Oryctolagus cuniculus: one gene and its partner. The protein of the gene in region 1 purifies or fractionates together with the protein of each later gene. This does not show direct contact. Links are inferred from orthologs where the notes say so. Each region holds a gene or a part of one and is shown in the gene's direction. Other genes may lie near its edges.

Region 1 (3,624 bases):
TATGTGGGTGCAGGGGCCCAAGGACTTGGCCATCTTCTACTGCTTTCCCAGGCCATATCAGAGAGCTGGATCGGAAGAGGAGCAGCTGGGTCTAGAACCAGCGCCCATATGGGATGCCGGCGCTTCAGGCCAGGGTGTTAACCTGCTGCGTCACGGTGCCAGCTCCATGAAATTGTTTTAAACTAAATCACTTTATATATATATATAATATCCTTCTTAGAACAAAATATAATCATTCTCAAAAAAATATTTCTTTCTCATTTATATATTAATGTTTTCTATTATTTCATTTAAACATCCTATTTAAATTCTAGTCAGTTACTACTTCAGAGATGAATCCTAAATAAAAATATTTCTAATTATAGGCTCTTCATCCTTTAAAAGATAAATCTTATAGTATTAGTTATGATAATGTTACTAATCATGTTGGTAAACATTAGAAAATTAAGTGTTTTCCAGTTTTCAGATAGATTTTCTCCTGTTGGTCTTTGAGATATTTCAGTTCTATTTAAGAGGTATACATAGAGTTTTGGGAAATTTTGAGCCAACATTTAAAATTAGTATTATTCACAAAAATGTTTAGATTTCTGCATTCTCTTATGTCTGCAGTTGGCTGGAACTAAGCAGTAGCAGTCCTGTACTCCCTTGATTAGTTTCCTCTTGACCCATTAAATTCATTTGTATTACTTGGATGGCCACTGTAGCATGGAAGTTTGAGTTCTTTTCTCTAAACTGATCCTTAGCAAAAACTACTCAATAATATACTGTTTTTCTGAGACTCTCTGCTAATGACAAAGTCTTTTTTAAAAAATCACTTTTGTTCCACATATGTTTACCATTTTTTAAGCACATTCAGAGGCCCTATTATTGTTCTGTTTAGTTGGCCCAAGGAAGAAACAAAAGTCTTCAGACTAATATTTTATGTGATTTATTTTTGATAAAAAGATGTATATTTTCCAGATTAAAGGGTTTGTTCTTAGATACTAATAGAAATAAAATTAATACTATATTACTGCTAAGTGAAGACTGGCAATAGTGTAAGCAGAAACTGATAAGCTTGTACAGTTTCAAATAGCTGTTCCATCATTGAGAATTCTTGCTGTTTTTCTATTAGAATGTTAGCTTTAAGAATAGCTATCTCTCTATCGGACATTAGTAACATTAGTAACTGAAACTTTGTTCTTTTCATTGGATTCATTATTTTCTGTTAAGCAAATACTGAGCCAGATTTTTATAGTGTAGGAATTAGGAAAATGAATAGGAGCGTTGAGAGGGACAAAAAATAATTTTAATTAGAGAAATTTATTAGGCTTTGCAAAGGAGATGGATTTAAAATTGTTTTGACATTTGCCTTTTAAAGTACTAACAAGATAACATATGGTTCATTGTCTTTCTTAACAGAAGGAGAAAAAAGAGAAGAGGAAAAAGAAGCAGAAGATAAGTCACAACCAAAATCAATCAGAGAACGACGGCGGCCAAGAGAGAAAAGAAGATCTACAGGAGTTTCATTTTGGACACAAGATGTAAGAATCTGTTAAAATACAACTATACAACTGCTTGATAGTATGCTTTATGTTTTCAAAAATACACATTAATAATTTCTAGTGTGACAGATTATATATTCTTAAATCATCACTGTTTTCTGAGTTTGGTTGTTAAATGAAAGTTCTTCTAAAGTTACTTGGATTTTTGGTACTACTTAAAAAACGTGAGTTCTGGGGCCAGCTGTGATACAGCGGGTTTGAGTCCTGGCTGCTCCACTTCTGACCCAACTCATGCTAATGTGCCTGGGAACGCAGCAGAGGATGGCTCAAGTCCTTGGGCCCCTGTATCCACATAGGAGACTGGAAGAAGCTCGTGATTCCTGGCTTCACATCAGCACATTTCCAGTCGTTGCAGCCATTTGGGGAGTGAACCAGCGGATGAGAGACCTTTCTCTCTCTCTCTCTCTCTTTCTCCCTCTCGTTCTACCTCTCTCTGAAACTCTTTCAAATAAATCTTTAAAAAAAAAAAAAAAGTGTGAGTTCTGTCCCTGTTGAGTTCTTTCTCAGTTTTGGAATATTAATGGCTGCAATTCAAACCACATATATTTTTTATTATATCCTGGCTAAATTGGTCCTTTACCTTAAAGGTTCTTGTAAGAAACATGCATTGTGGGCCAGCGCCACGGCTCACTAGGCTAATCCTCCACCTTGTGGCGCCGGCACACCGGGTTCTAGTCCCAGTCGGGGCGCCGGATTCTGTCCCGGTTGCCCCTCTTCCAGGCCAGCTCTCTGCTGTTGCCAGGGAGTGCAGTGGAGGATGGCCCAAGTCCTTGGGCCCTGCACCTGCATGGGAGACCAGGAGGAGCACCTGGCTCCTGCCATCGGATCGGGGCGGTGCACTGGCCGCAGCGTGCCAGCCACGGCGGCCATTGGAGGGTGAACCAACGGCAAAAGGAAGACCTTTCTCTCTGTCTCTCTCTCTCACTGTCTACTCTGCCTGACAAAAAATTAATTAATTAATTAAATTAAATTAAATTAAATTTAAAAAACATGCATTGTATTTAATCCAATTTTTACAAATATCCTTAAAAGACCTACATAACTGAATTATTTCTATCTCAAGGGATGCTGGATAGAAGCAGTACTTTACTTAGAAAATTTTAACAATCCTATAAAATTAATTTTTTTCCTGATCCTTCATTGTATGCTTGACATTGCTTTTCAGATGTAAGAGACAGAACTGTAGGGTAGCACTGCTAATATGAAATTTGTATTCTTTCAATATAACATATAACTACAGAAGAGCAATAATTTGGCTTTTTAGCCCATTTTTTCAAAGAAAAACTTTTATTGAATTATGATATGTAAGGAAACATAGTTCAAACTGTATAGCTTTATTAATTAACACAATGCAAATGTACCTACGGAGTCACCACTCAAAATGAGAAATAAAAACAACAATGCAGATGCCCCTATCTTCTCCCTTTCATTTCCTATGTTCATTTTCAAAGTCAACCAGTATTCTGACTTCCAATACCATAATTAACTGTTGTTTTTGAGGAGCATATGAGTGATTTTTTTAAAGATTTATTTTATTTATTTGAAAGAGTTACAGAGAGAGGTAGAGACAGAGAGAGAGGTCTTCCATCCACTGGTTCACTCCCCAGATGACCGCAGTGACTGGAGCTGCGCTGATCCGAAGCCAGGAGCTTCTTCCGGGTCTACCACCTGGGTGCAGGAGCCCAAGGACTTGGGCCATCTTCCACTGCCATCCCAGGCCATAACAGAGCTGGATCAGAAGAGGAGCACCCAAGACTAGGACTAGCGTCCATATGGAATGCTGGCGCTTCAGGCCAGGGCTTTAACCCACTGCGCCACAGCACTGGTCCCCATATGAGTGATTTTTAACTCAAAATTATGAGTTGCATTCAGGCCATTGGATGTAGCAATGCATGTACTTTTATTTCTTAAAAGTTTTTGTGTTTTTAATCTCTAACTCTCTTCTTCCATGGAAAGAACATGGGATCACCTGACTTCCTGCTGAACTGATTTTTTTTTTTTTTTTAAGATTTTTTAAATTTATTTGAAAGAGTTACAGAGAGGCGGAGAGAGAGAGAGAGATCTTCCATCCACTGGTTCA
Region 2 (4,352 bases), on another chromosome or scaffold:
CGGAGGAGGCTCTTGGCTCCTGGCTTTGGATCAGCACAGCTCTGGCCATTGTGGCTGTTTGGGGAGTGAACCAGCAGATGGAGGATCTCTCTCTCTCTCCCTCTCTCTAACTCTGCCTTTCAAACAAATAAATAAATCTTAAAAAAAAAAAAAAAAAAAGAAAGACATCTCTGGCTCCTGCTGTGAGCAGGGCCTGGGTTGTCATTGTTTTCTGGGTCTTCCATAGCCCCCATCAGAGATTAGTTTTATAAATGACCCTAGTGAGGTCAGTTGGTGGGCTAAGTACAGCGGCTCCTGCCTTCCCAACTGAGGCTTACAGGGAGTGGGATCCAGAAGATCTGTTAGTTCATCTTTCTGAAATTATGACAGTACCACCCCCCCACCCCCGGACAGCTCAAGTGCTGATGGACTTTCCAGACCTTGGTGTCAGCCCAGCCTAAACCCTGACCTCTACATGCAGACCTGAAGCTTGCTGCCAAGGCCACTGTGCTGCTGGATTTGTGCCCTGACAACTACCCACCCCATCACCAGCACGGGCGTGTTCTCTGCCTGCCATGCATGGGGCTGGGATGGGGGACGGATCTACTCACCACGAAGGGAAATGTGTGGAGCCATCAGGTGTGGATCCATTCTGGCCGCCCAGACCTGAAGGCAGGAACACAGCCAGAGCTGCAGTAGACTGGGGGTGGGGATCTGGGCAAGCATCAGCCCAATTCAGGGTAGGGGCCGCTAGTGGAATCTGCCAGGGGTCCTGAGTCTGGTGACGGTTCTAGAGATCAGTTACAACGTGATGGGCGGAGCGGTGGGGATTCTGGCATAAAATGATACGGTATGATAGCATAGGTCAGGGTAAAATACTAAGTTCTGACGATCTTGGTGGACTTCTGGTAGTCTAGGGGGATTCTGAGGAACCCAATGGTTCAGTCTGGTGGGGGCGGGGGCGGCCAGCTCACGGAGGTTCATAGGGAGCCTCACCTGGGCGGTGATACAACCCGGTCACCGTGTTCCCGTAGAACCCCCACGCCAGCTGGATGCCCAGGAGACTTAACACCAACCACAGCAGCAGCAGTTTGAAGAGGGTCACACGCATGTCCTGCGCCTCCCACTCCCGCAGAAACTCGCTGCCCAGCGCGCCCAGCGCGCCTAGCACCGTGGCCGGCAGAGCCTGCAAAGACTGTCCAGACCAAGACTCCGCCATGACCGGCCCGCGCCCCACCCGGGGTACTGTCACCGTAGTGCACACCGCGCAGGCGTAAGGTCTTCCGGGGCTAGGCCCGTTAGTGCGCACGCGTAGAACCAGGCAGGGCGGGCCTACCTCGCTTGGGCGAAGAGTTGGCAGTTTAGGGAGGAGTATTAAAACCGCGCACGCGCACTTAGCCCCACCCTACTCCCTTAAAGCATGAGTGACTCCCGGAGTATAAAATAGCAACCGGGTCTTTTATAGCCCCAGAGTTCCCGTGATGCCCCACGCGGCTGTAATGATTGGTTGAGCGTCTTGCTTTTAGGGCGTGGACGCGCGCCTGAGCTATCGTGGCTGAGATGTGAGTGTGCGCGCGCGCGCGGGGCCGCGACCAGGGCCGGCTCGAGCCCGCTGGGCGCTCGGGGACGCGCACGTCGCTCCCCGCCCTCCCGCCGCCGCCCGCCCTCGCTCGCTCGCGCTCCCCGCCCGCCACCCGCCGTCCTCCGTCGGTTCTCTCGGTAGTCCGCCGTCGCCGCCTCAGCTACCCGCCCTCGTCTCCGAGCTTGCGACTCGCGGACAGGCGTCCTCGGCGCGAAGAGGCCGGACTCGGAGTCGTCGCCCGAGGTGAGCGGGAGGATCCCCTCCTGGCGCCCCGGGCCCGCCCGCCCGCCCGGCACTTTTCCGGCCGCCCGCCCGCCCGCCGCCCCGCCGCCCCGCCGCGGCCGCGCCCCACCTGCTGCTCCCGCCCGGCCGCCCCCGGCCCCTGACCCTCACTCCAGCCCGGGGCCCGCGCCCCGCTCCCGCGGCCCCGCCCGCGCCGGCCCCGGAAGCGCGCCCCGCCGCCTCCAGCGCCCCTTCCCCCGCCCGGCCGGGCCTGCTGGAGCCCCAGCCGCCCGCCCGCCCCGGAGCTTCCTCTCTCACGGCCGCGCGGGGCTGGGCGGGGGCTCCTGGCCGCGCGGCGCGGCGCAGCCGGCAGCCGCAGAGCGCTCGTGGCTGTCGGAGTTGAAACGGGAGAGAAACTCTTTACAACTCCATTTTACCTTTTCCATCTGCTGTAGCACATGAATCACCGTTTTATGCAGAAGTCCGGCTGTGCTTTGAATAGATTTGCCTTTTTTTTTTTTTTTTGATGCGGTATGCTTGGAGAGAGTCTTAAGTAAAAAAGCTTGTGTTGAGGTCTTAGGACTGCTGCCTGAATTGGGGCGGAAAAGGGTGTTTTCCAGTTGAAAATTTTTAATGATTTAAACAACGTTGCATTAAAATGCAGGTAGTTTTGCCTGTGGAAGTTGCTGCCTTTTATTGGGACTCACCTAAACATCTGCCCCTGGTTTTGGATAGGATACACAGTTACAGGGTGTCTGCATTAAATAGCATTGTTTGCCCCCAGGTCGATTTCGTTAAATGCAGTGTTTTGTCATTTCTGGTGGAAGCTTGCATCCTTTTTACCTCCGTGTTGCTTCCTGTTGTGTTTCCTAGTAGTCCTGTTCTCAAAATGTTAGACTCTGTTGGTCACTTGTTCGGTTATTTCTGCCTTTAAGACGATCTTTTGAAGTAAATGTGTCTTGCAGGTGTGCAATCAGATTAGATTCCTCTCTGCCAAATCTGAAGGGGAAAAAAATGTCAAAGCCCCAAACCTCCATATTTTAAAATGGTGTATATGGTGAGACTTTTTCAGCCACTTAGTGTCACACACCCAGGCTGGGTTGGTGGAGATGTTGTATGTGGCACAAATGACATTGTTTGGGCTGAAACTTACAAAGACTAGTCCTTAATTGAAGCATCTCTTGATAAATTTCTAGAGACCCTTTAAAACTACAAATCTAAGGTGAATTTTAGACTCCTGTGAGTCTATGCCACTTGTCATTGTCACTAGTAGCCATAATGCAGTTGGACCCAATGTGTTGTCTATAGCAGTCCATCAAGTCCAAATCAATTCTAAAAGTTTAGGTTAGGTTTAGGTTAGTTCCATCTACTTTTGTAGAGCACTTTATGGCTCTTGGGGACATAAAATATGTAAGATGGAACTTGGTTTTAGTCAAAGTCTAGTACTAGGTTTACTGTCCTCATAAAAATCTGTACTGGAGAGAATAGAGTAGGATTATAACATCGATCAATTATCTTCATAGACCTAGTACTAAAATGAATTAAAATCATGTAGTCCAATCACATCTGCAGATGAGGAAACTGAGTCCCAGAGACTTAATTAAGCAGGATCATACTGGTATTATCTAGCTAGAAGCAGGCCAGAACTGTTTGCTCTGCAGGATATTCTCAAATACACTCCCAAACAGCTGGACTAGAGTCAGCTAAACTTTGGGACTTACTCTACCGTTTTTTCTTTTATACCTTGCTGACTTTACATAGATTGGGAGAATGTGAAAATTGATTTGCCAGCCAAATTTCAGTTCCTTAGCTGTCACAGCACTCTCCGTAACGGGATGGTTCCGCTGCAGTCACTTGTGAGAAATACCTGAATATACCTGCAAGGTCCTTGGCTGCCTATTCCTGGCTTTAGGTGTTTGGGTCTCAAGCGACCAATTTCCGGAGAGAGGCCCAGGCCTGGCTGCTCCAGAACCAGCCTAATGAGGTCAGGCTGAGATGTTTTCAGACAACTGCGGGCTCTTTTGCTGACTCCTGATAGGGGCAGGCTGAGGAAGGAACTGTACATATCAGGGTAACAGTCCCCTGTGCACATGTGTGTTGTGGTGGTTTTTGTTAGAGTATTTTCATAGTTTTGGTTCCTATGCTGTCAGCCAGTTAAGTTTTAAAAGTTTATCCTAGGTATATGGGGGCGTGAGTTATTAGGAAAGTAAAAACGGGCAGATCTTAGGTGTGTGTTGTCGATAGGGTGATATGCAAGTGGTTAGTTGCTACTTTGGGTCTTCTTAATTGTCTTTATTTTTTTTTAAGATTTTAAAAATACATATTTATGTATTTGCAAGGCAGAGTTAGAAAAAGAAATCTTCCATCTGCTGGTTGGCTTCCCAAATGGCTAAAACGTCTGGGGTGGGGCTGGACCAAAGTGGGAAGCCTAGAACTCTGTCCAGGTCTCCCTGGTGGGTGGCAGGGGCCTAAGCACTTGAACCATCCTCCACTGCCTTCCCAGGCACATTAGCAGGGAGCTGGATCAGAAGTGGAGCAGCCAGGACACACTTGTGTTAGCGAGCTGAGA

Evidence for each region.
Region 2: the proteins of PPP1R12A (region 1) and RHOA fractionate together in Homo sapiens (co-fractionation; 3 studies listed by BioGRID and IntAct, with this or other methods). This does not show direct contact. The link is inferred for Oryctolagus cuniculus from reciprocal best matches to the Homo sapiens genes PPP1R12A and RHOA.

What each region holds. Positions count from the first base shown.
Region 1 is NC_091442.1:82,588,439-82,592,062, reverse strand, and holds part of PPP1R12A (protein phosphatase 1 regulatory subunit 12A), read left to right. Parts: intron 1-1,401; coding exon 1,402-1,523; intron 1,524-3,624. UniProt on the Homo sapiens protein: Key regulator of protein phosphatase 1C (PPP1C). Mediates binding to myosin. As part of the PPP1C complex, involved in dephosphorylation of PLK1. Capable of inhibiting HIF1AN-dependent suppression of HIF1A activity.
Region 2 is NC_091441.1:99,830,931-99,835,282, forward strand, and holds the start of RHOA (transforming protein RhoA), read left to right. Parts: upstream 1-1,527; 5' UTR 1,528-1,804; intron 1,805-4,352. Other genes in the region: TCTA (T-cell leukemia translocation-altered gene protein), read right to left, coding at 591-645, 976-1,198. UniProt on the Homo sapiens protein: Small GTPase which cycles between an active GTP-bound and an inactive GDP-bound state.